Saccharomyces cerevisiae S288C: one gene and its partners. The gene in region 3 interacts genetically with the main gene of each other region. Each region holds a gene or a part of one and is shown on either strand. Other genes may lie near its edges.

What was found.
Region 1: mutations in DAN4 (region 3) and THI72 together harm fitness more than expected from each alone (negative genetic interaction), as found in Saccharomyces cerevisiae (one large-scale study listed by BioGRID).
Region 2: mutations in DAN4 (region 3) and HMS1 together harm fitness less than expected from each alone (positive genetic interaction), as found in Saccharomyces cerevisiae (one large-scale study listed by BioGRID).

What each region holds. Positions count from the first base shown.
Region 1 is NC_001147.6:696,494-707,049, forward strand, and holds THI72 (thiamine transporter), read right to left. Parts: upstream 4,075-10,556; coding exon 2,275-4,074; downstream 1-2,274. Other genes in the region: translocase ULS1, read left to right, coding at 1-841; YOR192C-C (uncharacterized protein), read right to left, coding at 7,495-7,731. UniProt on the Saccharomyces cerevisiae protein: Low affinity thiamine transporter responsible for intake of thiamine. It is possible that the primary function is the uptake of closely related compounds and that thiamine transport is a secondary activity of these proteins.
Region 2 is NC_001147.6:382,581-393,075, forward strand, and holds HMS1 (Hms1p), read right to left. Parts: upstream 8,496-10,495; coding exon 7,191-8,495; downstream 1-7,190. Other genes in the region: Hsp90 cochaperone STI1, read left to right, coding at 1-242; CIN5 (Cin5p), read right to left, coding at 953-1,840; YOR029W (uncharacterized protein), read left to right, coding at 2,020-2,355; DFG16 (Dfg16p), read left to right, coding at 4,245-6,104; YOR032W-A (uncharacterized protein), read left to right, coding at 9,596-9,796; Rad2 family nuclease EXO1, read right to left, coding at 9,836-10,495. UniProt on the Saccharomyces cerevisiae protein: Involved in exit from mitosis and pseudohyphal differentiation.
Region 3 is NC_001142.9:709,760-720,315, reverse strand, and holds DAN4 (Dan4p), read left to right. Parts: upstream 1-4,575; coding exon 4,576-8,061; downstream 8,062-10,556. Other genes in the region: DAL5 (allantoate permease), read right to left, coding at 1-650. UniProt on the Saccharomyces cerevisiae protein: Component of the cell wall.

The DNA of each region.
Region 1 (10,556 bases), on a different chromosome or scaffold from region 3:
AGCGATGTCCGTTCTGACAGGTTGTGGTCATTTGATTTGCGACACTTGTATCGAGCCCTTCATCGAAGAGTCATCCATGCTACCTCAGGCCAAGAAAACCAAAGGTGGGGCATTTGCTATCCCATGCAAAGATTGTCAACGTTTGACAAACGAGAAAGATATTGTTTCGCACAAGTTATACGACCAGGTAATAAACCAGGGATTTACTGAGGAAGATTTGCATGCAGAGTATTTAAGTGAAATGGAGAAACAAAAAATACAGCAAAAAAATGTATATGTGCCAAATTTTGAGAGTTTAGAACCATCTACGAAGATAGAGCAATGTATACAGGTTATTCAAAGAGTTTTTGATGAATCAGCAACCGAAAAAATTATTATTTTTTCCCAGTTTACAACATTTTTTGAGATTCTCGAACATTTTCTCAAAAATAAACTGAATTTTCCCTACTTGAAATATATTGGATCAATGAACGCTCAGAGAAGATCAGATGTTATCAACGAATTTTATCGTGACCCTGAGAAAAGGATACTTCTGATTTCCATGAAAGCCGGTAACTCAGGACTAACATTGACATGTGCGAACCATGTAGTTATAGTTGATCCATTTTGGAATCCTTACGTCGAAGAACAAGCTCAAGACCGTTGCTATAGAATTAGTCAAACAAAAAAAGTCCAGGTGCATAAATTGTTTATAAAGGACTCTGTTGAGGATCGTATTTCTGAATTACAGAAGAGAAAGAAGGAAATGGTCGATTCTGCCATGGACCCAGGCAAGATAAAGGAAGTGAATAGTTTAGGGCGTCGGGAGTTAGGATTTTTATTTGGTTTAAACGCTCTTTGAAGAACTTGGTGAATTTTGAAGCATTATTGCGATACACATATGTATATGTTGATAATTGGTGGCTAAGCTTCTAGTTTGTAGGCTTAAGTAACTTCACTCGTTGGCACTTACGAGCTTGGCATTTAATGGAACAGAAAATAAGCCGTAAATCGGCCCTACTTTAAGTATAAGAAATATGCGAAATTTGATATGATCGTTTGAATTACTTTTTGAAAAAGAAAATACCATTAGTAACATACAATATAAGAAGCTCGTCTCCTGGATTTGGAAATCCACAAAAGATTATCAACAATGCCACGAATAACATAATTGCTTCCCCCTCCTGTTAATTGCTTTAACTCATTATTGCATCGTTAACAGTTGTTACTAAATTTGATTTTTGTTTCTCATCATATATGTAATCTTCAAACGCCAGTATAATTATACGCTCGCAACAGCTACCATACATTAATGAACCGATGAAAATATCCCGTTTGATGATAACTGGCAATTAAATGACAGTATTAATTAATAATCAAAGCTGATCTTATATTCCTATAAAAGAGAAGCGTATAAAACACACGTGGATTGGGGGTGCTTTATACGTAAACTGTGATTTCAGTAATTTTCGCTGTAAGATCAAAGTAAAGACACATTCCCTTATATGTAAAGTTCAAATTCATTGTTCCACTAATAGACCGTCAACTTTTCTTTTGGATTTTCAGCCCGAACAGGTTGCTTATTATTAACTTCCTTACAACAAGGTACAGTCAGTGCATTATATAGATCTATACAACCATGTGCCTTTGTGTTTTCTAAGGCTATACTGAAAATAAATTGGTAATTTATAATTTCTATCTTCACGCGCTTTCTCACTAACAAGACTTGACCTCTCAAATAAGTGGCGCAGATGCTCTAGAAAAGGTTTCTTATCAAATAAGTTTTGCTCTTTAATCGCACAATGCAATGCAAGTTATTTTTTTTTTTTTGATTTAATGACTTTCGATTTCCTCTCATAGGCAACCGGTACTTATCATAAGTACGTAATAAGAAAAGTATGTCGCAGGACGTCATAAGCTCAGACTTGAACAAAAGAGTAACAAAATCGCCTCCACCTAATTTTCAGCCCTACTAGAGCCTGATAGGATATCGGCACTGAAGCTGATAAGAGAATCAATGAAAATATCATCCTCAACAGAAATACTGAAAAGAAGCGGTAGTTTTTTTTTCTTGTTACAATTATCAGCCAAACAAAAACAGTGATCTGAATCGTCAATCAAACATTAGTGGAAGAATGAAATAATCGAAATGACCTCTATATCCTGTACGACCAACAAGCTTAATAGTAGTGTTTCCTGGGACTAAAGAGTGTGTTTAATTATCTCGAATTTTAATACTAGCGAAAGATCTTGAATGAACACTAAGTATGATCATTTTATTAGGTTTTTTGCTCATTAGGCAATTTGTTTTTCACTGGAAGTAGAGGATTCCTTTTCATTATCTTTCTGATGAACAATTTCAAACACTTTTGTGTTTTCTGAACTAGTTTTTGTCAACTCAGGTAGTTCATCATCGGAGCTCTCAGGTTTGTATTCGTGTCCACTTGTGAAGCATTCGCCTAATGTGTAAGCACGGATTTCTTCTTCAGAAATTTCACTGTATGGAACCATGCCCTTCTTCCTTGCTTCTTCGTCGGTAAACGCACCGTAGTAATCTTTGTCATCATGTTTGACAGTAATTTTGAATGGGAAGAGGAGGCATAGTCCCCAATAGACGAAAAAGGAAATCAAAAAGGAGAAGAAAGAATCACCATAGAAAAAATTTATAATACCAGTGTTGTGGAAATAGTCATTATTGACTTCCCAAGCGATACCAGGTAGACCGGGAGCCATACCACACACCCAGGCAACGATAGCTCTCCAGTTGACACCCTTGGTAAAATAGTATTCACCCTTTAGAACAAAGGCATTGGTAACGGAGTATTGTCTCTTCCTGATGAGGAAATTATCACAGATCATGACAGTGATAATAGGTGTCATTACGACACCGAAAGAGCTCATAACAGTCAAGAAAGTAGAAGAAGAGTTGTAAAAGTTCCATGGCAAACAGGCCCAGGAGACGCATGCGGCAAAAATAGCACCTCTCTTAATATCAACATATTTCGGTAATAAACCAGCCAAATCCATACCACTGGCAAACCCACAGTTGGAGATGGTATATGAAATTTGAGACATTACAAAACAAAAACCACAGAAGAATGTAGCTGCACGCGCGCCTGCAGAATAGTTAGTTGTCAACCAGTTGTCAAAGATGTCCATAGGCATCCAAAATGTTTGACCGTATAATTTTTCACAAGCAGAAGCACCAATGATACCGAATACTGGGATCAAGGTTGCTGGTATTAGTAAAGCAACTATAGTACCAGTCCAGATAGCGCAATTAGAGGAACCAAATCTGGAGAAGTCACTTTGATTGGTACAGCCTGGAGAAACAGAACCGTACCAGTACGAGATCGTATAAACCCAAGCCCAAGCCTTTTTAGAGCCAGTAACTGTGGAATGAGTAGAAGTGAACAAGTCACCAACACCATGTGCGCTCTTAGTTAAGTAAATTACCATACCCAACATGGCGAAGAAAGTACCAACACACGACCAAATTAAAATATAGTTCATATGGTATGGCTTCATAAAGTAACAGAACGCGGTAAGGATATGGAAGATAATGAAGCCGATCAATTCCTTGGTGGTCATGGCAACTTTCGAGGACAAAGTATTGGGCAGATGCAAATAGTGGTGAGACCAAGAATCTAATATCATGTTTACACAAAGCCCACCTAACCAAGCGTTGGAACCATAATAGACAATACTCATCAATATTCTGATAATGATACCAAGAGCTGAACCGTAAATCCCAAAGACGAATCTTTGAGCTAGAGTGAAGCCGACCTTCCAGTCATAGCCAGGACAAGAGTTGGCTAAAGCAAACAGGATGGTCAACAAATCAGCAATAATAAACGCACCGATGGTCTCTGAGTAACTTAACCCAACAGTTAATGCAGACGAACCGCCTATCCACATACCAACGTTGAAGGACAGAACACCCCAATACGCAAAATTAGACCAAAACCCCCACGTTTGATTAACAGACTTGATAGGTTGCAAATCAGGGTTCCTTAAAAAATTCACGGAGGCCCTATTTTTAACAGGAATTTCCAAAAATCTCAAAGCCCTGGAGATTCTCGTACCGAAACTCATAATGGTGTAATGCTAGAGTTTTTTTTGCTTGATAGTATATCAGATATGAGAGCAATAGATGATGATACAAGTTCTACAGTGGAAAATAACATGGTACACGCTCTTGGCAACATTGAAATTACAGCTCTCATATATAAAAAATGGAAAGAAAAAAGAGAAGAAAAAAGAGAAGAAATGAATTCTATTATGATAGCGAATGCAAAATATTCGTCCACATTCTTTTATCTATTGTCTTCCTTCTTTCTGTGCAACTACCAGAAAAAGCTATTTCATCTAGTCGAGTAGACTAATTAATGAATTATCTCGTCTTCCATATAAATTAATAAGGCAACCAGCAGGAGACGCCTATTGTTAAGCGTATTACGAAACCTGCGGATCTGTGCGCTATTGTTATGCCAGTGAAGGAGCCTGTCATCATGCACTCATGTGCCCGCGCGCGCGCTTCTGTGACTACAACTTATTGTAGGGCGTAGTACACTGACGCCTAGCGCTCAAAATACACATATGCAGTGTGGCCGACTATGCGATGAAGCGGAACAGTCTATCTTATGTGAATGGTTGCAAAATGCCGTTATATGGATACTACGGTGCGAACACGTATTTATAATAGGATAATCTTGTATCTATTCGTTTTATGCTACTAGTTCTAACCTTTAGGAAGTGTCCTTCACAATATCAGCCCTACATGCAGTGGTCTTCGTAAATCCTGTGAGGTTTTGTCTCATTTCTCTATGCTGGAAGGGCTTCGTAGAAGATTCCGCAAAATAATGGAATTGAAGCCCTGCGCCAAGCAAGCCTCACGAGGATCGTCGGTTCTGAGACGTAACCACGCTCTTGAATCTTGTTTATGTGATCAGCAATGACGTCTTCGGTGGTAATACCATTTCATTCCGGAAAAGATGAGTTTGTAGTCGGTTAGGGAGTACCGTGGCGTCCTTTCCTATTTCTGCAAATTTGCTGTCCATGTTGGCAACTACTCTCAAAGGTGGCAACTGCTTAGTAAATAGCCATATCGCTCAGAGATACATATCAAGAAACTCTAGCCAGATGATCACGAATCCCGAAGCGATGTAATTTTCCGTGAGGCAGTCCTGAATCAGGCCGTAGATTGACTATTAGCATCTCTTTTTGAGTATGCTAAGAAGTAGAGGGCTACCTTATTCCCACACACTTTTTACCACGGGCGAAACATTTATTTTCAAGTCCCAGCACAGTGATGGGATGAAGTCCAGGATGCGTCATACGGTCCTATGGCAAACTTCGGGGAAGGTTTAATATGCTGCTTTCAAGCAGGATTAACGGTAATCAACTCCCTAGGCAAATTGGCTCAACTCTGCCTATCTATCCACTGAGGATTTCAAATCCACCGAATGGGAGAATATGTCAGTGTCCATTTTGGAGTAAGGTATGAGTTCTTTTTTCGTCAGCTTTTCTTCTATATCTTACAATTGCTTATCTTAAACCACCGATATTTTTGCAGTCCCTTCATCATCGAGCACAATGGCCTATACGTTGAAATTTTGGTTTTGGTTTGAAGCCCACTCATCTTGGCATCGCTGACGTGTTTTCTTCCAAGATTTAAAGAGGACTACTCGGTGCAGGTGGACATCTCGAATGAATATGTTACCTAGCTTGATCTCCTCCATCAAATTACAACCTTTTTGCAGTGAATTTTGATACATGGATTTCGGAGCTTAAACACGTATTAACTGAAATTCAGGCATGGCGAGAAAATTCCCATCAGAACTTGAAGAATACTCTAAATACTACTGAGATAAACCGAGAGGTGACGTGAAATTCTTCCCAGATGTTCAATATATTATGAAAAACCATCCAGCTGAATTACCTCATTTGCAGATCAATTTCAAAGGCTTCGGTTCGGGGATAATGAGACATTCTGTCCAAAATGTCCCATTTATTACAGCCTCGGAATTAAGGTGCTTGATACTGTTCTCATAAACATGTGACTGCATTGGTGGTTGATGGAGTAATGATACCACTGAGCGGTTTCAAATGCTAAAAGTCTTTTGAAGCTATCACAGTTACCCTCGGATTTGGCAGTCTAATTCAAGTGCCGTAGATACCGTGGCATTGAAATATTCGAGGCAGTTATTAGCAATGCTCAAGAGGATATTATGCGGAGTGCTACCCTATTTGCATTTTTATGATGTCATTGACGATGCGAGAAAGTCTAACATGATTAGATTGGCACCTGCACATTATATATTGCGTTTCTGAACTTGTACATTGTAATGAATGTGTTTAGGAAACCGATGAGTAAATCATAAACCAAGGTGGGATCTCATTATCAATTTTTTTTTCATATCAGTTACAATAAATATAACTTGAATAATTTTTCAATGATTGTCGAATTTCTAAAACATTCACACATTCTGAGAATAATAGAGCAAGGTTTTCGAAGATACAAACCCCATTAGCACCCTAATTTGTTGTACTTGTGTTTTTTCACCACTAGCACATCGTTTTACGATTCTTGAAAGGCTAGATGGAATAGTGCAGAGCCCAAAGGATAATATCCATAGTTAAACAGCCGTTCTTTGCGACCTGAATGATTGCTTACTTTGATTTTGTTGCATTACAGGCTTTGGTAATAGCAAAGTTTGTCGCCAAATCTGTTTTACCGTTAGAAAAGCTACTTCTCTTCAAGACGTCATTCTCAGCTTGACCTACAGAATGCTACTTATCCAACATATCACGTAAAATCTAAGATATACTATATGATAGAAGCGCAGATTACCGGATCTAAAATAATTGTCTGGGTATTTATTCATGTGGGTTATTTATCCAAGCAAGAATTTGACCCAACGTGCTCTATCTTGTTTGATTCACTAAGGTTTCTACTGTGAATTCTACGAATTTTGTGATAATGGTAGGGTTTCCATTCTTTTCAAAGGCTGTAATATTAGGTATACAGAATATACTAGAAATTCTCCTCCAGGATATAGAAATCCCCAAAATGGAATCGGTAGTTCAACAAATAATATTACGATTATTTCTCAATCTTTATGCCATCTTCTTTCACCGCATGTAATAGTATACTAGTAACACTAATACTATTTAACAGATGACATTTTAGAGTTGGAGGAGAACTTCTAGTATATTCTGTATATATAATATTATAGCCTTTATCAAAAATGGAATCCAAACAATTATCTCAAAATTCACCAATATCTTACGTTGATTCTGTTGGAACGAGAGTAATTAATAGTGACATGAGTTGCTATGGTAACAATCTAATGCTTACATCGTATATTAATGTACACCTCGTATACGTTTAAGTGTGATTGTGCCTATTGCAGAAGGAATGTTAAACGAGAAGCTCAGACCATACTGAAGCTGTGTTAAAGACCTATTAGTTGAACATGATATGGTAGGTACATATATGAGGAATATGAGTCGTCACATCAATGTATAGTAACTACCGGAATCACTATTATATTGGTCATGATTAATATGACCAATCGGCGTGTGTTTTTGAAAAGTGGGTGAATTTTGAGATAATTGTTGGGATTCCATTTTTAATAAGGCAATAATATTAGGTATGTAGAATGTACTAGAAGTTCTCCTCAAGGATTTAGGAATCCATGAAAGGGAATCTGCAATTCTACACAATTCTATAAATATTATTATCATCATTTTATATGTTAATATTCATTGATCCTATTACATTATCAATCCTTGCGTTTCAGCTTCCACTAATTTAGATGACTATTTCTCATCATTTGCGTCATCTTCTAACACCGTATATGATAATATACTAGTAACGTAAATACTAGTTAGTAGATGATAGTTGATTTTTATTCCAACATACCACCCATAATGTAATAGATCTAATGAATCCATTTGTTAGTTAATAGTTTAAATGTTTTTATCGGAAGAGGTTTTGTCATCACATCAGCAATGTTCTTATTGGTCTCGATGTAGTATACGTATAAATTATTACCTGATACTTCATCTCTAAGTCTCATTGCCTTCGTGCCAAAAAATCTGTTTCTAAATTTCTCTTCATTTGTAGACTTAATTATACTGATCGTTGATCTACTATCAGTAAGTAAGCCTTTAATAATTGGTTTCTTGTTAAGTTCTTGCACAAGGTGACTGAGGTTATTCAATAGCGGTATAGCTTCACTGACTGCGTGTATTTCTGCTTCTGTAGTTGAAGTGCATGTTAACGAAGCCTTTGTCGACTTTCCTCCAATCACTTTTCCGTTGAGTAGGAAAATGTTACCAATTTGTGACTTGTAATATGGTTGGTTACCATATGAAGCATCGCTTATTGCGACTAGTTTATTATCTGGCTTGGTAGGTTTGTTTTTGTGCCATATTAATTGTTTATCTCTAGTGTCCCACATGAATTGTATTAACTCATATGTCATGTCTAAAACTTGCCTAGAGGGGAATAGTATATGTTGAGCAAGTGTGTTGATGTAGTATAGTAAGTCAAATCTAAATTTATATCCAACATATGAAGCTAGACCAATCAACTTTTGCATTTCATGCACTTTCTCTTTGTATTCATCTTCATCTATTTCTAGTTCATCCTGGTCTATATAATGACCTGGTTGACCTGGAGCTCTAAGTTTCTTTCCTTTTGGGTTCAAAGGTACGTTTAGTTTGGGTAATTTTTCTGTCAAGGATTTTTCCATACCTAATTTCATGTACTTGCTTCTTTGATATTTGATCTCTAATCCAAGTATGTCGTACTGAATTTCGTTATCACCTTCACCCAGATTTATTATCTTTGTATCGTATTGTTTCTTGAGTGTTGTTATGATTTTCTTATTTGCATTTAAGTCTTTGCTAAATAAAATCATGTCGTCAACGAATAAGCAAATTGTTACTTGACTATTCTTAAATACGCATGACCATCCGCGAACTTCTTGCATGTCGCAACAATTTATTAAATATGATTTAATGGTTTCATACCAGTTTGCACCACTTTGTTTCAAACCATAGAGTGATTTTCTCAAACGTAGTAATTTATCATTCAAACCTAAATGTGGTGGAGGTCTTATGTATAATTCTTCTTTGATATCAGCATATAAGTAAGCAGAGGATATGTCCAGCTGTGTGATATAATAGTCGTTGTCTAATGCGATTGACAGTGACGTCATCAGTGCATAGTGATGTACGGTATTGGATTGCATATCAGAATCATATGTATCGGGGTGTTGAATGTCGCCTCTTGCAACAAATCTAGCTTTGTGTGTACCATCACGTTTCTTGTTAAATATAAACATTGAGTTTATTACTTTTTTAGGATCTATGTCATTTCTATCATAATATTTGTTTGTATCCCAAGTGTTCATTTTCAATAGTTGGCTAATTTCTTTATGATAAGCTTCAACATATCTGTCTTTTTCTTTGTTGTCTTTATTATAAGTAATTGCTTCATCATATCTTAAGGTCGTTCGAACTGGTTTGATCGATTTCACTCCTTTTATTGCTGCAATTAAATTTATGCGTTTCTTCGATCTTGGTGGTTCCAGACTTCTCATATTCTTATTATTCCATGTGTCTCGGGATACCTCAATTTCAGTTTCATTATCTTCTAATGATCTTTTCTTACTTTTGGTAGTAGTCAGAACATTAGAATCATCCATACCACCCAAACTGGAATTAGTCTGACGAGAGTGTATGTGTGGAATATCTTTTGAAACATCAGAAGTGTCCGTAGGAGATTGATGGGTTAAGTCAGGAAGTGGGAGGTCGTCAAGAATAGAATCAGCCGTAACATTTTTTGAGGATTTGTCAGGCATTATATTAGGAGTCGCATGGTCAGAAGATCGATATTCTGGCGGATCCGTATCAATGGAGGGTGTATTATCACATGCAGCCTTTGTTTCTATGGAGATGATGGGAGTAGTGGATTCACTGTTGGACGAACGGTCATCTATTGAGGGCGTACTATTTGTAGTCCTGTATTTGATATTTGTATCACTATTTCGTTGAATATATGGTTCCTCCGTACCACCCAAACGTGTAGTTTTGATGTTTTCAAGTCCATAATTAACTCTATCCTGTGAGGTCAAATCAATCATATCGTTGGGACTACCAGGTCGCTTTTGGTTTCGTGCAGTGAAGGTAGACGAGTGTCTAGGTGAAGTAGTATCTGATTCAATGGTACCACCCATTTCGGTACTCTCTTTATTAATGATATGGGGTGTACGAGATCGTATAGTAGATGGAAGAATATTGTATTCAGATATGTCGGCATCAACTTCTTTTGGTGCACGTACCTTTTGGACTGGTTCCTTGTCTAATTGTAAAGGGTTCAATGATTGGGACGAGAAATCGTTCACTAGAGGATCAGAGTTTATTTCAATCTCCGATTGATAGTCATGATCAGATTCTGTATTTTGATCATATGACTGCTCCGTTTCATTTTGTTCAATAAAAGATTGGTTATGGGCTGTTAAACGATTGAGATCATCATCAAAAGTGAGTGTATCGTAGTCGAA
Region 2 (10,495 bases), on a different chromosome or scaffold from region 3:
ACTACAAGGCAAGCCAACAAAGATTCCAACCTGGTACCAGTAACGAAACCCCAGAAGAAACCTATCAAAGGGCCATGAAAGATCCTGAAGTGGCTGCGATCATGCAAGATCCTGTTATGCAAAGTATTTTGCAGCAGGCCCAACAGAATCCCGCTGCTTTACAAGAACACATGAAAAATCCAGAAGTATTCAAAAAGATTCAGACGTTGATCGCTGCTGGTATCATCCGGACTGGCCGCTAAAAATAATACGAAATATAACTTTATTATCTTGAATTCTTTTTTTACTGCTTTTTCATACATACGTACATATAATGATCTTCTCACTTAGTATACTAAATTTGTTTCATGCTATGGTTGATATTTGAGAAATCGGAACTTGAAGATAATAAGTTTCTTGGGCGAGGGAAAAAAACATCGGACCATCTTTCCTGTCGTTCTCCGGATCAGCCCTAGGAAATTTCTGGCCGGAACTCTCCTTAGAAACAAAAAAAATTACGTAATTGGCACAACTTTACGTCAACAATATTCATTACATCAGAATGCGAAAAAAAAAAAGCGAGAATATCTAAGCTCCATGACAACATTCGCTAAGCTGAAAAAATTAGGGAAATAAACTTTTCAAATTGCTATGATATAATTTCGTTTCTTACTATGTATTTTCTACGTATATTTTTACACTCTTGACTCTTTCCTTTTTAGTAATGTGCCTGCCATAAAAAAAGGGAGATGAAGGAAAGAAAATAAAAATGGTGAAAATTAAGCTTTGTTGATTACCTAATACAAGCTGCCTGAAACTAGAAACCATAAATTGTTTCCTATCTCGTAATATTTTCGCCACCTTAGGCATCAATTTTCTTTGGAGAAGGGGGGTTGCATCCCCCTGAAGAAGTGCTTGCCATGTGCTTTGAAAACTTTTAAGATGTTACTAGTACTAATAATTATTCATTATTTTATTCTTTTAATTTCGACTTTAATGATTCAATCATTTTTTTCAATTCACTGTTTTCTTTCATCAAGCCATCGAATAGTTTTGATTTTTCTTCGAGATTTTTGATGTATTTCTCACGACGCTGCCTAAACGCCTTTTGTGCGCTTCGATTTTGGGCAGCTCTCTTAGTATTTCTTAAAGGTTTGCCTGTTTTACCGATCAACTGGCCATCATTGTTATATCTTTCGCCTTCGTTAAAAACCTGCTCTGAAAGAGAAACGGAAACTCGACGTCTTTCCTCTGAAGGAAGGTTAGTCGTGGCACTATTTTTTCTCGTAGCTGGGGTACTATTTGAGGGAAAATATGAAGCTGCCGGTTGGCTAGTAAATGTAGATGCAGTAGTGTAGGAAGATTCAAATGGTGCGTGTGATGCAGTGGTGTATGGATTAGAATTGAAGTGACAGTTTAAATGAGTATCTGATAGTTGCGGTCTAAGCTGGTATGTGTTCAGTCTTGGTAAAGACGGAGGAATCAAATTGTTTATTGTCACCGGCCTTGCAATATGTGGGCCCGCAGTATTTGGAACATCCTCACACAATGCTCCTATATTAACAGAATTTCTTCTTCCAGAAAGATCTGTAAGTGAGCCAGTTCTGCTCTCATAACCAGGCTCTTCAAGTGTTGCAATCTTTGGGAGCTGAATTTGCGGTAGAGTCACATTCGAAGCAACTACCGAAATTGTATGCAAATCAGCCTTGTTCTCCTCTTTAATAAACCCTACAGGAGGGCTTGGCACGAAAGCGGTATCCGTCATTTTTTTTGGCTTTGTACTGTCTCTTGTCATTGAATGGGAAGCTAAAATAGGTTGAAAATTAAAAGGATGATTGTCCATTTTTATTTGCATTAACATTTGAGTAGGTTTTTGGTTTTCCTTCTTGTTCCAAGCTGTTATTCTATATCTATGATGAGATTAACGGCTGCAAAAAGTCGTAGTTAATCAGTAAAATTATCTAATGAATTATTTGTAAGCAGAATGCGTGAGAAAAAATAAATCACCCAGTTCCTTTTTTATATACATGAACTTTGGTAATGATGCAGACATCAACTAGTTCTCGAGTGAGGAGGTATCCTTATCAAATCACTCTCTCCCTAGTATTGAAAGGGTTTTACTCGCCTTCTGCTCCTAGTTACGATTTTTGCCTAGTACTCCTTCCTACCCTCTTCCTCATAGATTTAATGCCAATAAAATTTTCTTTGCATGTCACCATTGGGATCGGTGAGGCAACTCCGGTTCCGATTTTTTTTTTTTCAGCGCCGTGGTATTTCCGCTCGGGAAATCCCCTCCCGCATTGCGTCAGAGCTTATCGATGTAAAGTTAATTTCCCTTTTTTTCGGTTGGGCTGGAGCACTTGGTTGCATTACTAACAAATTAACGAACAATAGTTTTAAAAGCAAGTGCCTTAAGATTTAGGTCATTCCTTCGAGGATTTCTGGGAACAATTTAAAGAATAACAGAAACTTTTGCGGCCCTTTTCATCATCTACGTGTTTTGTAAGAATGAGATCACATTCCACGTAGCCCTAAACATTGGCGTACATTTCCACTCGGAACCTTTTCTCGACCCCTCTCCGTACGCCAAGTTTTACCTTGAGGAGTAAGTCGTCAAAGGGGCGTGGGGCAGCCATTTCTTAGGAGGTGGGAAGACATGGCAGTGAGTGGGCCCTATGATTGCTGCTGCAGGGGACTTTTCAGGATAATCATGTAAACGATAAAACGGAAAAACAAAACTACGGACGTTGTTACCTTTCCATTTTGAAATGTTTCTCCGAAAAAATACCATTTTGCACAGTTCAACATTCTTGATGGCAAAAGCGAAGCATTGCGTCAACGGGTTAGATAAGTCATTTACTGTCAATTAGTACCAATACCTGTCTTTGCTCACCGAATGGCACTATACAGTGACGTTAAGATCTTGTAGTTGTTTTTCAAGAAGGCACTAAATAAGGTAATATATGGTGCCTTTCGCAATGACTCGTGTATCTGGCAGATCTATAGCTGCACACCTGATTTTTTTGCTATATTTGAATCAGGAGTAAGTTTGAACCATAATCATTCCAATTCAGTTTGATAGTACCTTTTTTTTAAAATTTTTGAAAGAGCTATCGCTTAGCTATCGGCGGGCATATTGAATTGCGCAGTAGATGAACATTTCACTAGTTGTGGCCAAAGAAGTTAGTTAAAAAGTGTAAATATGTCACAGTACTTATCCTTCTCTAAAGAATTAGTTTATTAAAAGCAGCAACAAGAAGAATGACTGTCAACCATTTTTAGGTCATTGCAACAAATCTCAAAATACGCTTTTATAGATAATCTAAGAAGATCGTTATATGGGAATACTAACAGTGAGAAAATGGAAGAAACGGGTTAGCGTAGAAAATTGTAATTAAAAAACAACAGTTTTAAGAAGGTGGTGGGCAATTAATACTTGAGGATTAATACTTAGAGCTTATTCAAAAAGAAAAGATAGAATTTCATGTAATACATGAGAACAATGTAAGGTTTTTAAGGTAACGAGTAACTAAGTTTTGAAATATCTTCACTAGCCTTGCAATCATCTTTTAGCTTTTCTATTTGCCGGATTCTTTACAACATAATCACGCTTTCTTCTAGTTGTAATTTTCCTTCTAGATGTCATTATTTCAACCGATGTCATTAATATCCTTTTATGGTGTTTACAAAAAGAAAGTTTCAAGTACCGCTCACCTACACTACGTTGTAATTCTTAGATACATAACTTTAGTTTTGTCGCCTATGTGCACAGATAAACAAAACAACCTATAAAATTTCCGTTGGGCCCTTTTGTCCCTGATTTCTGGTGTGTAACCCATTTATTTCTGTCCTGTAATAATTCGTCTTCGGTGATTGCCATATATACACAGTTTAGCTTTACTAACTATAAACATCCGAGAAGAAGAAAAAAGAAGGTCTGATTTCTATCAAACAACATGTGAAGATAACACAATCGATGTGATTGATATCAGATTTACTAGCCCCGTTGGATTGAAAAATCTGCAAGGAAGGGCTAAAGAGCAATATACTTTCTTTTGTTGTTTCGGGGTGATGAGAAAATTGTAACTTTTTTTTTTAACTTGGCGAGAAAATTGACTGGAAGAAGTGTCAAAGATAAGGCTTCTATCATATTCAAAACAAGTACCACCAAATGGCAGCTCAACTCCGAAGGCTCAAAAACAATACTTATTGATATTGCACTCACAAGCATTTTTTGTTGCGGAACGTCTTTACGTGCAAGATTAATGATCATAAGATTGCATTTTTACTACCTCCTCACTTTAGTTTACCATTTAGGACTTGTAGGTGCGTATGAAAAAGCAGCAAGAAAGAGAATTCAACCTCCCGATTTGATACCTGGTCCTCCGGGACATAAACTTGGTGATGAAAGACCACCGCATTACGACCACCGGCCACCTTATAAAAAACACATCGACAACATTCCAGCTTACAATCTGACTGATTTGATAGATGATAAACTACTAAATAAATATGAAAACTCATGCACGGTAAATGTATTGACAGGTGGCTTCATCTCTCTAGCAAGTAATTCGTGGCACTTACGTGCTTATAATTACACTTTAAATTACCCATCCTTTTTGATCCGATGCGATAATGGCAGTGCAAATCCTAATTTCTCTCATGTCTTACAAGACTTTGTTTATGACATCAACAACAAATTCAACGTTCAAGATGACAGTAGTAAATACATCGGAAAAGACCCATTTCCCTTAGGAATGATAATGATCACCTTTGCTTCTGGGTGTATCTGTGTGGCAACATGGATGCTATTTTTGGTTGTCTTATTACTGCCATCCGATAATCATAATAGAAGAAATAAAGTTGTACATGTTTACGTCCTTTTCTCTGCGATTATAAGAACTGTATTTCTAAACGAGACTATAGCCGTCATATTTGACAGCCAATATCACGATGACTACCAGGATGCGAGCCAATTTGAATCGTTCATCGTAGAAACTGCACCATATAAAATATGTGAATTAGTTGCAAATATTTTGAGTGATATAAACTGGATTTATATTGTTCACTACTTACAGTCCAATTATGGAAAACCAACTTGGAATTGGATCCCATTTAAAATGAAAAAGGGGACACATATCATAATTACCGTGGGTTGCTTCCTCTCACTAGCCGATAACATTTTATTCGCAAACCTTCTTTGGAGAAAGAACCTTGTAGTTTTGAAGGTATTTTACAAGCTAATCGAATTACTGATTTACACAATTTTCATCTCCATTATTTGTTACTTCACATGGCATAATTTTGCTTACATACTTTTACCGAAAACTGCTGAAATTAATACGGACGGTAAGTGTAAAACGAAATTGAGAATTCTTTGGGAAAATTATCACGAAACTATACCATTATTGGCGTATAATATTCTTATATTTATTTTATTCTATTTCACCACAATTTTTTTCGCTGCTTTCACCAAACATGTTAGAGGTTGGACATTTAACTTTGTTCATCTTTTGAAAGTTTTAATAACAGTGAACGTTTGGGGCTTAATTGGAGTATTGGAAAAGAGGGAGCTGCACATAAGCAAAAAAACAGTCCTTGGACGAAAAATTAACAATAGGGACAAATTTTTCGCCAATCCAACAGTCAATTATTACGGAGAAGATTTAGGCAAGCATTTAAGCGCCATAACGTTAAACAGGGATTTAAACACTACTAAAAGTAACACTACTTCCCACGATTCATCAAGTTTAGTAGGATCCCCTTCACCCACCTGGAAATCTCCAATCGAAAGAATAAGGGACAGAAGAAGAAGACATAAGATAATGAAAAGTGAGAATAAATTTGGGCAAAATCCCAGTTTTGGAAGTAAATCGAATGGCAAACCTAATACTAAAACGACATTATCCAAATATCGACAGCTATTAAGGAAGCCTAGGCGAAAAACCAATTCATATGAACCAAAAAATGGCATTGGACAGAATAAAGAAGGCTCAACTGTTAGACCAGGAGCCGACAAACATATTAGAGATTCCAATTATCTAGCTACAGACATCAGTGACAACGAAAGTATGGAAACCGAACTTCGAACCAACCACATTTATAATTACGAAAATAGTGATTAAGGCAGGCCCAGTGGACGAAAAGACATAACTGCAGAAGTACAGCTGCCTTTATTTCTTGTGGTCATTTATTGCTTTTATTTTCAAGTCAGATATACAAGAAAATCAAATCCCATCGTCAACGTCACGTATAAACGATTAATTTACAGTAATACCATACTCTACCAACATTATTTTAGTCCGACGTTCAGTCCTGTAGGTGTTCCAAATCCTTCTGGCATTGACTTCTGTGCAGAAACCCTTCAAAATGAGTTCCACTTTACGTCAGATCGCATAACAACCGGTCATATATTTTTTTCTTTTGCTAAACCCCCTACTGCAAGCACTTTTAAGAAAAAGAACAATAAATGCGTCTTTATTGCTGTGTGGAAGTGATTTTTGTCTTTCGGACAAAAAAAGGATAGGGATGCGAGAGGGCTGTGAAGTAGTGATCAAGCGGGGCCTATATAAGAAGGGCGCACATCGTCCCCCCTAAGAATAGCGAAGCGATATTACACTGAACACTACAATGTCAAATAGTACTCAATAAATATGACTGTAAAAATATGTGACTGTTAAGGCGAATGTTGTAAGGACTCTTGTCATTGTGGGAGCACCTGCCTTCCAAGCTGTTCTGGCGGTGAAAAGTGCAAATGTGATCACAGCACCGGAAGCCCTCAATGTAAGAGTTGTGGTGAAAAATGCAAATGCGAAACCACGTGCACTTGTGAAAAGAGTAAATGCAATTGTGAAAAATGTTAGGTGACCCCTACTCTTTACTTATCATAAATACATCATCATATTTTACCCTTAATTAACAACATTTATTTAACTGCATGAACTAAATATAAGGTATAGTTTCTTTTTCCCGGAATCTTTTTTTTAGATCGTTATTATTTAGACGGCACTAAGAGAAATAAATTAAACTAAATTACGGTGCGGAGCTCAAGGCATCTGCGAGTGTTTACTAACACTAAAAGAGATGAATAAAATAGATTTCTCAATGCAAAATTAAAATTACAATGTTACGCATACACACAAGTACAGATTTGTATATAGTATTTCTTCTTCGTTTTATCTGTCGTGTTGAAACATTTTGTTGTTCAAGTATTAAAAGTCTCCTGCGTTGTTAAAATCCATATCATGTGAATTGTTGGTGCCGCTCATGAGGCCGTTTTGATGTGGAATATTATATTGAATGTTATGCAATGGTTGTTGTTGTCGTGGCTGCCGCTGCCGTTGGCGTTGGCAGCTTCTGGTTTGCTTTTGTACTTGTTCACTACTACTGTTGTCACTCAACGGTTGAGATGGCTCGGTAAGATGGACGAAAGAATCCCGTGTGTCATTTGATAAATGTTGATTAGCCAAGCTTAGCTGTAGGCACTTTCTTTCTAAATGACAAATATATTCAATAGATTTCGTTAAAATGGACGCCTTATTCAATTTTGTTGCTGGCTCTAGGCCATCTAAGTCTGCTAGGTCTCTAGATGTAATGGGAAGATCGTTACATTTTTTATACGCTACTCGTAGCGTTGGGACAGTTCTCCTTAATTGTTCAATTTTATCATTAATATTGGAACGGTATTTCTTTTCAATTATATTGTGTGATACCCTTCCTGTCCTCACCCTTGTTATTCTTTTGGGTTTAACATGAAAATGTTTCCGTATAGGTGAAGTTTTTAACTTGAAGCTCATACTGTCAGCATTGTCAATATTCTCCAAATTCAAAGATGATTTAATCTCGTCTGCAGTAACTAAGGGAGACTCTGTCTTCGATAAAGGCAAAAAATTTTCAAAGCCAGACAATTGTTCCTTTTTCACGATTGAAGCTGCTGAAAGAAGACTCGAGTCCTTTTCAGATTTAAGATCGGTTTGCTTTACATTATCAATGTTTTCATTTTCCTCGCTACTAAAGACTTCCATGTTATCAATGTATTCTTCGCTGTCAATAGTATTGCCATTGTCTGTAGTCATTGTAGTACTACCCGTCGTTGTTGTAGGTATAGAAGCCAGAGCATCATTATAGTAATTACTATCAATTACTGGAGTGTGGCCTGAAGTATTAGGAAACGAGGAGTCACTATACTGGTCTGTGGCAGAATATGTGTTGTTCTTATATACAGGAGGCACGGGAGGTTGAAGATGGATGGGATGCTGAAATGGAGCGTAATAAGCATGCGTCGGAGGTCCTTGAGAACCCAAATCCTCGGTATTGTAATTTGGTGGCGGCACGTTGTAATTGTTACTTTGAAACATTAAATACATTTGGTTCGTGGTTACATTTACATTCTGCTCTTCGCTGCCATCTTGAGCACTTCTACAATCAAAAACCTTGATGGCGACTTTATTACCTAGGTCGTTCATTACAGAATTGCCATCCGAAGAACCAGAAAAAGGTTTTTGAAAATTTGGCATTTCCAATTTATACTCTTATCGTTGCTAAAATGAGTCGTGTACTGCAACTGCTCTATATTCTATATTCTAAGCGAATGGGTGGGTGGGTGTGACTAACTATTAAACTACCTAAGCGATCTCGAGAGCCAAGGCGAGTAGTAGAAATAAAACTAGAAGCGCGCTTTACAGGTTTGACCTTAAGTATGATGCGATAAGACACTTACATAGGACGATTTTTGAGGCTTACAATGTGTAACCAAGGTATATAAAAGGTGCTGCTGCTCTTGGGAAAAATACAAAGAAAACGCCTACGGTAAAAATACAATACCAGCTATTTTTTTCTTTTGAGAAGCCCACTCAAAGTAAAAATTAAACAATGATGGAAAAGAACGGAAAAAAGTTCAAACAGAAAATTAAAATACAGCAGAGAAGACTAGGCACAACAAAGTGGGATTGTGTCTACGCTTTTAACGGTGTACCCTTTTTCCTCGCCACGTTTTCACTCAGATCTAAATCTCTGCTGTAATTTACAGCGGCATAAGAAGGCACGTCCCCTGAAAGTAGGCTAGCCAGAAAACAAAAAGGCCAGAATCGGCGCGGAACTTCTCGTATCGAGAGCAAATGAGGGGTGCGGCACACAGTAGGAAAGGGTAACTGATTAACATACGTACACCCCGGCATAAAAGCTTCTGCAGGCTTTGTAGGCAAGAGACACTGCGGAGAATAAAAGGTTGTGACGCCCAATACCTTCGCCGGACTCCTTCTTGGCGTTCACAAAAGACGATGCTGCAGCATTTTTTTCTTGCGTCGAACTCGCGCCCACAGCAACGAGACGGTTCCGTTCCTTCCCGTAATGTTGCTTTGATTAACAAAATTCTCGTTTCCTCAGTTCTGTGAGCCCGTTTGTCAGCAGAGGAATCCCAATGAAGAAAATTTTTTCTGGAAAGTAAAAGCGAGCGAAAAGTTTAAGGTTCAGATTGCATCACTATTCGTTCAGTTGATAGCGAATGTAGACCGCTAGCGGCTTGATTAGATAAATAGAGTGGGTTAAAAAAAAGGAAAAAAAAAATGTGAATTGCACATGCCCAGCGCGCTCGCAAAACATATAAAGTTGTCCTCACATGCGGCGTGCATTGTTCATAGCGGGGCAAACATACTTGTGGCTTAATTTGACACATCTACTTTTAATCTTTTCTTGGTCTAGTACAATGGCTTTTTCCCAAAGTAGAAGGCTTCTTACTCCAACCGTACCCTGTCCTACTTTACTGGGCATTGATTTTTTAATTCTTGTCTTGAGGCATTTCGACGAGATTTTCATTTGAAAAATATACCTCCGATATGAAACGTGCAGTACTTAACTTTTATTTACCTTTATAAACAAATTGGGAAAGCAAGGAGATAGATCTGACTGCCGGCCGAGCTTGGCTTGACTTAGTAGTTTCGATGTCCCTTTTCTTACTTTCCTCATGCAAAATTGGTGATGAATTGAATGATTTTCGTTCATCTACGCTTTTCATGTCAATCACAATTCTCTGTGACCTGGCACCAATAAGGCTTTTTCGCAGTGATGGCCTTTGCGTGATTTGATTTTTACCATCGTTATCGTCGCAATCATCATCTCTATTTTGATTGACGTATACCATTCCTCTACTTTTTTGATTAACGTGCCGAGGAAATAGTGGTTGTCTATTTGCATTAACTCCGCTGAATGAAGATGAATATCTAAACTTTTGTAAAACTTTTGTGCACCCCGATATACTCCTCTGGGATGACCCGGGAAATGAGGTGGTGCTGCTCGTGGGAACTCTTGATTCCGCAGTTTCGCTATAATCCTCGCTAGTATCGCCATCACCGTCATCATCTGTATTATAGATTTCGTTACCGATAGTCTTTCCTTCAGAATTCTTTCGGTCCTCTTCAATGTCACTGACAACTTCAGAAACCTCTTCACTCAGGTTGTCGTCATCCTCTAAATTGGTTGTAATAAAAGAACTAGGTATTTGTGTAGATAGTTGAGACTC
Region 3 (10,556 bases):
CAAATTGATACTCTTGTGAATTGTTCCTCTGTCTTCCAGTATTGAGCAGTGATAATGGTAAAGCAAGGTGTGACAACACTTTCTGCGCAACCTAAAAGTACTCTCAAAACAATGAAAGAAGGATACTTAACTGTTGGAGCTGCATGTAAAGCTAATAACATTCCCCATATGACAATAAAAACCGCAAGCATTTTTGACATGTGACTGGTCCTTTGGAAAATGAACTGTACCGGGCCTAGGTTCATAAATAGATAGCCGAAATAAAAGGCGGAAGTAACCCATGAATACTGGTCACCATGCATTTTCAAGTCAGTTCTTAATCCCATGACCGCCGCTGAACTAGTGGAAATCTTGTCCATAAATTGAACAGCATACAATATACACATCAAAGGAAACATACAATAGTCGATCTTCCAACGAAGTTTTCTATCTTCTTCTGGTGTCACTTCGATTTCTTTGGCTTCTTCAGCCAACTTCATGGCCTCATCAACCTTGTCACTGATGTAGACAATTTTACCGTTGGGTGATAGTACCGTGCTTAGAACTGGCTCCGCGGTTACGTCTTCATTCTTGATTTCAGCTTCTGAAGTGATGTTTAAATTTTTTTCGTCTAGGGAAGCATTCGAATTTGTACTAGCATCCGCTGACATCTTGAATTTTTTTTTTTACACTATTTGATTATCCTTGTTTTGTTGTTTTCTTCAATGTTGTTATGTTAAACCTTTCCCTCATGATCTCCTAATTTGATGTTTCCTTGGTCCATTTATATACATATATTACTTCATCCAATCTGTATATTCGGAAAACCAGATAATGATAAGTATTAGCCGTATCTTCGGAGTTACACTACCACTTAATTGTGTGAGTGATTGGTGATAACGTTCTCTGACATCTTGGCCAAATCTTTTGCCCCGATAATCCACATGATCATAAGGTCGATTGTTATTCGTTTGCTGAATTCCGCACTTCACTCAGACTAACGCGAGGGACTCTTATCGAAAAGGAACAAAGCGTGCGGCAGGAGCGCGCTGTAGCACCTTATCAGCAAATGATAGCTCCTCGAGCATTTGTCAAGTGACTGATGAGAACGCTTCTCTGATATGCATAGATGTTGCGGAAACAATCAGATACTGGGAAAGGACACTCCAGAGTCAGTCATAGGCTGTAAACCTGATTAAGGTGCAATAAGAAAGAAAAATCCGCCGGGATCCACCATGGATATTGTGCTGATGTAAAAGTATTCCTAGATTGTCTTGTTATCAATGTCAAATTCGGTGTTCATTCTGGGTAGTTATTTTGCTGAAGTCAAATTAAGTATTCTGTTTTACTCGGGATGCATTACATCTGCTTTGCGTCATAAAATAAGCATTCAAGCACCACTTTTTGATGTTTTAATGTATTTGCTCATCTCGGCTATATGGTAGAAAGCTTGAAAGTTAAACAGATGTTCATTTTTTCATCCTTACGAATGACCTCTCGTTTATCTAATCTGCTATTACGGTGTACAATAGAAACACACATGTCAAGATATAAACTAACATCCTTATCATAAGAAGAAACTCTGAGCCATCACAATTAGCGGGTAGATTTCTTTTTCCATTAATGTGAGCCAGCACTCTTTATCTTTCGTTATCCTCACTGAAGATATGGTCATCTGTAACGCCCGGATGAAAGAAAGAGAATCGCACTTTCTGTTTGCAATAACATCTTGAAAGTAGTGTTGATGTGAAAGATTGCAAGTATTTCATACCTCAAGTCTTTCTTGCTCCACTTTTTCATGCCAAAATGGGATTTCGTAGATGTTTGTTTATCCACGTCGAATCGTGGCTGTTATTTACTACGTATAGCCTTCCTAGCTTGTAAATAGTTTGAAAATTCCTGACAGAACACTCTTTCTTGCTTTTGCCTATTCTTATGAGCAGCTCTCAGGTACGGACCAGAACGCATAACGATACTTGGTGCTATATTCTCTGAAATATATGATATCTCACACTTAGGGTGCTACACATTTGTCTGAAAACCAACGACGATAAAAGCTATTTAACGTCCATACCAATTTAGCACTATGGGGAAGTGGATGTCTTTTTTTAATCATTTTCATAAATTTTAGGATTTTTTTTTATGAAGTAAACGAATCAAAATTTTTTGTTGATATTCTTTTATTTTTGCGCGAATACAATTACATAAAACTCATCAATTGTTCTCTATTACCTACCCTATTTTTCCCTATCACACGGCCAACGCCGTATACTAACCGTAGTGTGCCATAAAAAGGAATGAACGGGTAAGAACAGGTCATCCCAAACTCGGCGTATTTAATCAGTTCTTCGTGTAATAACACTTTAGGTGAGGGTGATGCTGACAGCGGATGTCAACGGCGAGGCTTGAAAGGATGACAATAAGTTTCTGACTTCGCTAAAGATGTAAATATAGCTTGAGTTATTGACAATAATGGATTAGACAAGAAGATTACATACGTCTCTGATGTTTTACGCAGCGCTGTCATACTCACACGCTTCGGCTCTACTCCTTCAAGTAAAAATCTTTTGTGTATACGTATCTTAAGCTTGGAGTAGAAGCTGTCTCTGGCCTTTTGTACTCGTTTACACGATTACAACTGATCAACAGATCTGGTTTTTTTTTTCAGCTGTTACAGATGGATTTGTAAGCCGAAAGGTATTTTCGTCATCCCCTTATATAAGATGGGAAACGAAGGTAAAAGATTAACGATAGCATCGCATATATAGGATTCCTAATTACTTTTTCGAAGTGCAAGTGGAGTATCGAACATGTCTCTGTCTGTTTACTTCGACTTTTATAGTGGCGAGATAATAAGACTATTTTATTAGCAAGGGATAACTACACATTTATTGAGGCTCCTCTTTATCCTTAAAACGGAACAAGGTTAGCATGTCTTTCAATCTTAAGTTTAAGAGGCCGCCGGACATCTTCATATCAACCCTTTTCCTGCCAGGAGGCAGGCACAATCATTTGTTGTGCATGTAGGGCTAGATTTTTGAAAATTTGGCATTTCGAGCATATGGGCCCCAGAATAAGCTTCAGGCTAGTTTTTTTTTTTTAGCTTCTATTATGTATGCCCGTCAAGATCATTAGTATCGCATGATTTGGTTGATTAACCACAGAATGTTGAGAAATTCTCACAATGGAAGACATATCGGCCTACGGTAAGATTACACTGAGGACCTTATGTAGTCTGATTGCTTCTGTTTACGCAGAGCCCCGCATATTTTGATAGTTTGATATGAAACCTTTACAAATCATTGAGAGTGCGCCGTACTCGTCGAATCGCGGGGAATGTCTTCTATTAACGTGTCCTCTACGGGCCGTCATTCCAAACGGGCAGCTGTAGGCGACTAATGAACCACCTCTGAATGCAAAGGATGTAAACTGTTGGCACAATAATGGGGCTGACGTAGCGTGAAGAAAATATAACTGATATGTTAAAGGAAATACAAAAGATTTCATGACCGCTAACACAACAATACTAAGTTATGAGGGTAGAGATTTTTCGTTACTGTTGCTATAAGAACCCGAATCAAGACCGTTTATCATATATGAACTATTATGATTGGCAAGGCTTTTTCTTAATTCAAGTCACACGTCGAGGTCTCCCTTGGAATTCGTATAAATCACACTAAAAGTTCTGTGGATTCTATTAAATGAAAGCAACGGTTCCGCTTTGGATGCATAGAACCTTCGTGAGTAATTATTTTCCAATTGGAGGAATGGATGTTATCATCAAACGATAACATTCATAGCCAAGAAGTATTTGGGTTTTCTTTTTGTCACATGTAGACTTTGATACTTCTCTGTGCAAGCTATGACAGGTTACAAAGCGCATTGAGTGGCGGGCTGCAAAAAAATGAGGAGATATTTCAATTAACAAGATCTAGTTTCCTAATACGGACCTTTTTCGGAGCGCTAGGATCAAAATTGGATAGCACAAACAGCTTCTCTCTCTCTACGAGCTAAGATCCTCTGAATGGTGCTTGCACATTCTCGTTTGCAGCATATTTACTCCTTTTCGAGTGTGCTAAACCCCAAGTGACCCAGTGTCTACTGACTGGGAAAAAGTGATCTTTCTGTTTGGTAGCGCGTATAGCACGTAGAGTAAAGTTATGTGAATGTCTATTGAACGACGACATCAAATTAACTTTTTTTGCAGTTCTGTCACTTAATCACAGATAATAAGAGCAGAACAATTTAGGCACGGGGAAATTCGATCGATCTGCCCATCCGTAGGCGTTTTCTCCGGAGAAGTTTTTACATGCTGCGCATTTCTTTGGCGGTGAAAAAGACAGTACATCGCGTGCCTTTAAAGATGTCAAAAATTATACGAGATCTGTTTAAGATCTCCATCGTTCAGGAACTGTAAAACAAGAAGCATTGGCAAAGATAGTGATTTTGCTCCAATATATTCGTTTATACAACAGCTGTTTGGTTCGAAAGCCTATAAATGGCCTGTGTAAATGGCTGTATTGAGAGTATGCTCAAACTGAAATAAGTACCAGTTCCTGTCGAATCTGCGATATCCGAAAAACTCCGAAGAAAGCAATGGTTAATATAAGCATCGTAGCAGGAATTGTAGCCTTAGCTACTAGTGCGGCTGCTATTACAGCGACCACTACTTTATCTCCTTACGATGAAAGAGTCAACCTTATTGAATTGGCTGTTTATGTTTCTGACATCAGAGCCCACATATTTCAGTACTACTCTTTCCGGAATCACCATAAGACTGAAACATATCCTTCGGAAATCGCAGCAGCCGTTTTTGACTACGGTGATTTCACTACTCGATTGACCGGTATTTCGGGTGATGAAGTAACTAGAATGATCACTGGTGTTCCGTGGTACTCTACCAGATTAAAGCCGGCTATCTCTTCAGCGCTTTCAAAGGATGGTATTTACACGGCTATCCCAACCTCTACTTCTACAACGACTACAAAATCTAGTACTTCGACTACTCCTACCACCACTATCACTTCTACTACTTCTACCACATCGACTACTCCTACAACCTCTACTACTTCTACCACTCCTACAACTTCTACCACATCGACTACTCCTACAACCTCTACTACTTCTACCACTCCTACAACTTCTACCACATCGACTACTCCTACAACCTCTACTACTTCTACCACTCCTACAACTTCTACCACATCGACTACTCCTACAACCTCTACTACTTCTACCACTCCTACAACTTCTACAACTTCTACCACTCCTACAACTTCTACCACTCCTACAACTTCTACAACCTCCACCACTTCTCAAACTTCCACCAAATCGACTACTCCTACTACTTCAAGCACATCGACTACTCCTACAACTTCTACCACTCCTACAACTTCTACAACCTCTACCGCTCCTACAACTTCTACAACTTCTACAACCTCTACCACTTCTACCATTTCTACCGCTCCCACGACCTCTACAACTTCAAGCACTTTCAGTACTTCTAGTGCCTCTGCATCCTCTGTCATTTCTACCACTGCTACAACCTCTACCACTTTTGCCAGTCTTACTACACCTGCCACATCTACGGCTTCTACTGACCATACAACCTCTAGTGTCTCAACAACTAACGCATTCACTACTTCTGCAACTACTACTACTACGAGCGATACATATATCAGTTCAAGTAGTCCCAGCCAAGTCACTTCATCCGCTGAGCCTACTACTGTCAGTGAAGTCACCTCTTCTGTTGAACCTACCAGGTCTAGTCAAGTCACTTCATCCGCTGAACCTACTACTGTCAGTGAATTCACCTCTTCTGTTGAACCTACCAGGTCTAGTCAAGTCACTTCATCCGCTGAACCTACTACTGTCAGTGAATTCACCTCTTCTGTTGAACCTACCAGGTCTAGTCAAGTCACTTCATCCGCTGAACCTACTACTGTCAGTGAATTCACCTCTTCTGTTGAACCTACCAGGTCTAGTCAAGTCACTTCATCCGCTGAACCTACTACTGTCAGTGAATTCACCTCTTCTGTTGAACCTACCAGGTCTAGTCAAGTCACTTCATCCGCTGAACCTACTACTGTCAGTGAATTCACCTCTTCTGTTGAACCTATCAGGTCTAGTCAAGTCACTTCATCCGCTGAACCTACTACTGTAAGTGAAGTCACCTCTTCTGTTGAACCTATCAGGTCTAGTCAAGTGACCACGACAGAACCTGTTTCTTCCTTCGGGTCTACTTTCAGTGAAATCACCTCTTCTGCTGAACCTCTCTCTTTCAGTAAAGCAACCACTTCCGCAGAATCTATCTCCTCTAATCAAATCACCATTTCCAGTGAACTAATAGTTTCTAGTGTAATTACTTCCTCTTCTGAGATTCCTTCTTCCATTGAAGTACTTACTTCAAGCGGGATCAGTTCATCAGTTGAACCCACTTCTTTGGTTGGACCTTCTTCTGATGAATCCATTTCTTCTACTGAAAGTCTATCTGCCACATCCACTTTCACTTCAGCCGTTGTTTCCTCGAGCAAGGCTGCTGATTTCTTTACCAGATCCACTGTTTCTGCTAAATCTGATGTCTCTGGTAACTCCTCTACCCAATCTACTACCTTTTTTGCTACGCCTTCCACTCCACTTGCTGTTTCTTCAACTGTGGTCACTAGCTCTACCGATTCAGTTTCTCCTAATATTCCCTTCAGTGAAATCAGTTCCTCTCCAGAGTCGTCTACTGCAATTACGTCTACATCCACTAGCTTCATTGCTGAGCGGACTTCTTCCTTATATCTTTCGTCATCAAATATGTCAAGTTTCACTTTAAGTACTTTCACTGTTTCCCAATCGATCGTCTCTTCATTTTCTATGGAACCTACATCGTCAGTCGCATCTTTTGCATCAAGTTCCCCTCTCTTAGTATCCTCAAGAAGTAATTGCAGTGATGCCAGAAGTTCCAACACCATCAGTAGCGGTCTGTTCAGCACGATAGAAAATGTTCGTAATGCAACCTCAACATTTACAAACCTATCAACAGATGAAATTGTCATCACGAGCTGTAAGAGTAGTTGTACTAATGAAGATAGTGTTTTGACGAAAACTCAAGTTTCTACCGTTGAAACTACTATAACTAGTTGTTCGGGTGGTATTTGTACCACGCTGATGTCTCCGGTTACTACTATTAATGCTAAGGCGAACACATTAACAACTACAGAAACTTCCACGGTCGAAACAACTATAACAACATGCCCTGGTGGTGTTTGCTCGACCCTGACTGTTCCAGTTACTACAATCACCAGCGAAGCCACTACCACCGCTACCATTAGTTGCGAAGATAATGAAGAAGATATCACTTCTACTGAAACCGAGTTGCTAACTTTGGAAACTACTATAACTAGTTGTTCGGGTGGTATTTGTACCACGCTGATGTCTCCGGTTACTACTATTAATGCTAAGGCGAACACATTAACAACTACAGAAACTTCCACGGTCGAAACAACTATAACAACATGCTCTGGTGGTGTTTGCTCGACCCTGACTGTTCCAGTTACTACAATCACCAGCGAAGCAACTACCACCGCTACCATTAGTTGCGAAGATAATGAAGAAGATGTCGCCTCTACTAAAACCGAGTTGCTAACTATGGAAACTACTATTACTAGTTGTTCGGGTGGTATTTGCACCACGCTGATGTCTCCGGTTAGTAGTTTCAACTCCAAAGCCACTACATCGAACAATGCAGAGTCGACCATCCCCAAAGCGATTAAAGTCAGTTGCTCTGCGGGTGCCTGTACCACCCTGACTACTGTCGATGCAGGGATTAGCATGTTTACCAGAACCGGATTGTCTATCACTCAAACTACTGTGACCAACTGCTCAGGTGGAACCTGTACCATGTTAACTGCACCAATCGCGACCGCTACCAGCAAAGTCATCTCACCAATTCCAAAAGCCTCCTCGGCTACTTCCATTGCTCATTCATCTGCTTCTTATACTGTCAGTATCAATACCAACGGTGCCTATAATTTCGATAAAGATAACATTTTTGGTACCGCTATCGTTGCTGTTGTCGCTTTATTACTGCTATAGTGATACAATATAATCTTCACAAGCATATAAACAATTGTAAAATAATTTAAATTGACTTGAAAGAAATTTTAAATCTATACTTGATTCATGTAGCACATAATACTACGGTTTGTGAACATACTCCTATACACTTTGAATGGTTTGTATGATATACAGGTATCTAAACATTAGTGTTACCAGTTCGTATATTAACACTAGTTAAATTTGAATCCTCTAAGGTATCGCCAACAAGTAAAATTTTACATTTAATTGAGAAGTTTTTTAATTTTTCTAAGAAAACATTAAAAATATCACAATATGGGCTTCAGCCTAAAATTATGGTTTTTTTTTTCCCTCATCCTTCATTTTATTACCTCCGTTTATTGACGTGTTCGACAACTCACATATGAAGCTTTAAATACTTTGTTCACTGTTAGTTTAAATAAAATTTAGCCTTTAGGTTAAAAATCGTGTCAAAAAAGGAATTCTTCCAAGAACATGAACTAAAGCTCTTCTTAAAATAAAGTTATGTAAGATAGAACTACGCGGCACAAAGATGGAATTGAGAAATAACGCTCCATAAAGTTGACGCTGCTAAATTCTAGGTCACAAGGCATTAGAAATGAGGGCCTTTGAAAAAATTTATTCAAGTAAACTGCTTTCTGAAGAGTTCGCTCTCATCGACATTGGTAGAAGAATAGTGTAGTGTAGTAGCAACCGTTAGTAGTTTATTAATGTCTAAAATTCAGTATAACTAAGAATAGAAGCAAGTATTCTTATACGGTATAGCAGAAACGTATAACTGATGCGGCGATGACGAATGTATTCAAAATGATGGTATTTCAGTGATTTGCTATATTTCCAATGTAATAACTCGCATCCCTACGTATATTAAATTTGAATTAACATTGAATTAATAGATCTTTAACGTAACTTCTTCCGCTAGTTTCGCAGTAGTATCTTGTTTCCTAGCCTGGAGCTATGAAGTATACTGTTTGGTCACTTTATTCAGTTACTATGGTTACTAAAATTATAAACCACCCGTTCCGACAACGACAATGAAGATCTATTTTGCAAATTTGGAACAGAAATAACCATAACCATGAGGTTCGTTATCGTTGACTACATATTACAATCCGAAATGAACATTCGGCCTAGAATGCATTGTACCTTTACAATACTTTGTAAAACATCTTTCAATGTGTATTTTCCTAGCTTAGGTAACACAACTAGGTAACTTATTGGGATGGTTGAGTCTTAAGTGCAGGCCATTTATTATCAATACTGAATCTTGTATGTTTTTGTCAACTCTTGACAGAAAGCTTCAGTCAGCGAAGCAAACTTTCGACCTTCTGTATCATATTTTTCTGCTCTATTTATAGCGAAAGAGAGAAGCCTACAAGAGGATAAGTACTAATCTTGTGATTATTGATTTTCTCCAAAGATTGGGAAAATTACTTAGTTGCACAGCGGAAATGTTTCGATCTCTGACTTTGTAATCGTCAAAATATTCTAGCAGAGCGCAACTTATTTAATTCATACTGTGCGTTCTCCTTGTGGTTTCTAAGACAATCTTTGAGCATGTTTATGGATGCACTTAGGGGTCCTACAAGCCTTCGTATGAAGTTGCCCCTCGCAAGCACACTATAAATTCATGAACAATTGCGCAGTCAAAGTTAGATTGTAAGCCGAATTCAAACGATTTCAACAGTCGTAGCTAACGAGGCCTTTTGTCTCACACCCTTACAAAGGGACTGTAGAATGCAAGGGCAAACAGGCCTGAGGTAACTTTAAAATATAATGTACCTTGAAAACTATGTATACATTGCATTTATTAAGCAGTAGGGTATTTTGTTTGCAAGAAAATAAAGCTCAAAATATCTTTGGAGTTTGACAATAGTATAGAAAAAATAGCTCAGCAACCTTAATAAAAAAAGGGTCATTGGGCAAAGCGTTTTAAAAAGATTTAAGTGGTAGTGTTTAAAGTGAAAGAGATTGATATAGTTAAAAATTGTTGAGCTCAATTCACGCTGGATTCGGCGATCCGTTTTCTTCAATCCTCACGTGCTTTCTTCGTTTGAGTGCAAAAGTTCATATGATGCTATCTCCCGCTTATCTTATTAGTCGAAAATGGGGAGAATTTCCTATTTTATCTGTCGTTTAGCACATATGGCCAGGAAAATACATAAGGTTTCGCCGAACGACGGGGTCAATTCGTCCTTTTTGTACACATCGTTTAATTTATGAGGAAAAATTGATGAATGTATCCTCCGTAGACGCTCCTCTGAAAAGTTTCATGTTTCCTGCGCGTTCCTTTGATAGGCAATAAAACAATACAACGCGTGCCTTTGAAAATGCCAAGATCTATACGAGGCCTCTAACAAAACATCGTTCAGGAACAGAGAATGCTAGAAATGCAAAAGGGTCCCTGGGTACTCATTGAATAGAAATGATTGAAAATACTGCGTATAAAATAGCACGACTAAATGATACTATTTTTATGTCGACACGGTACT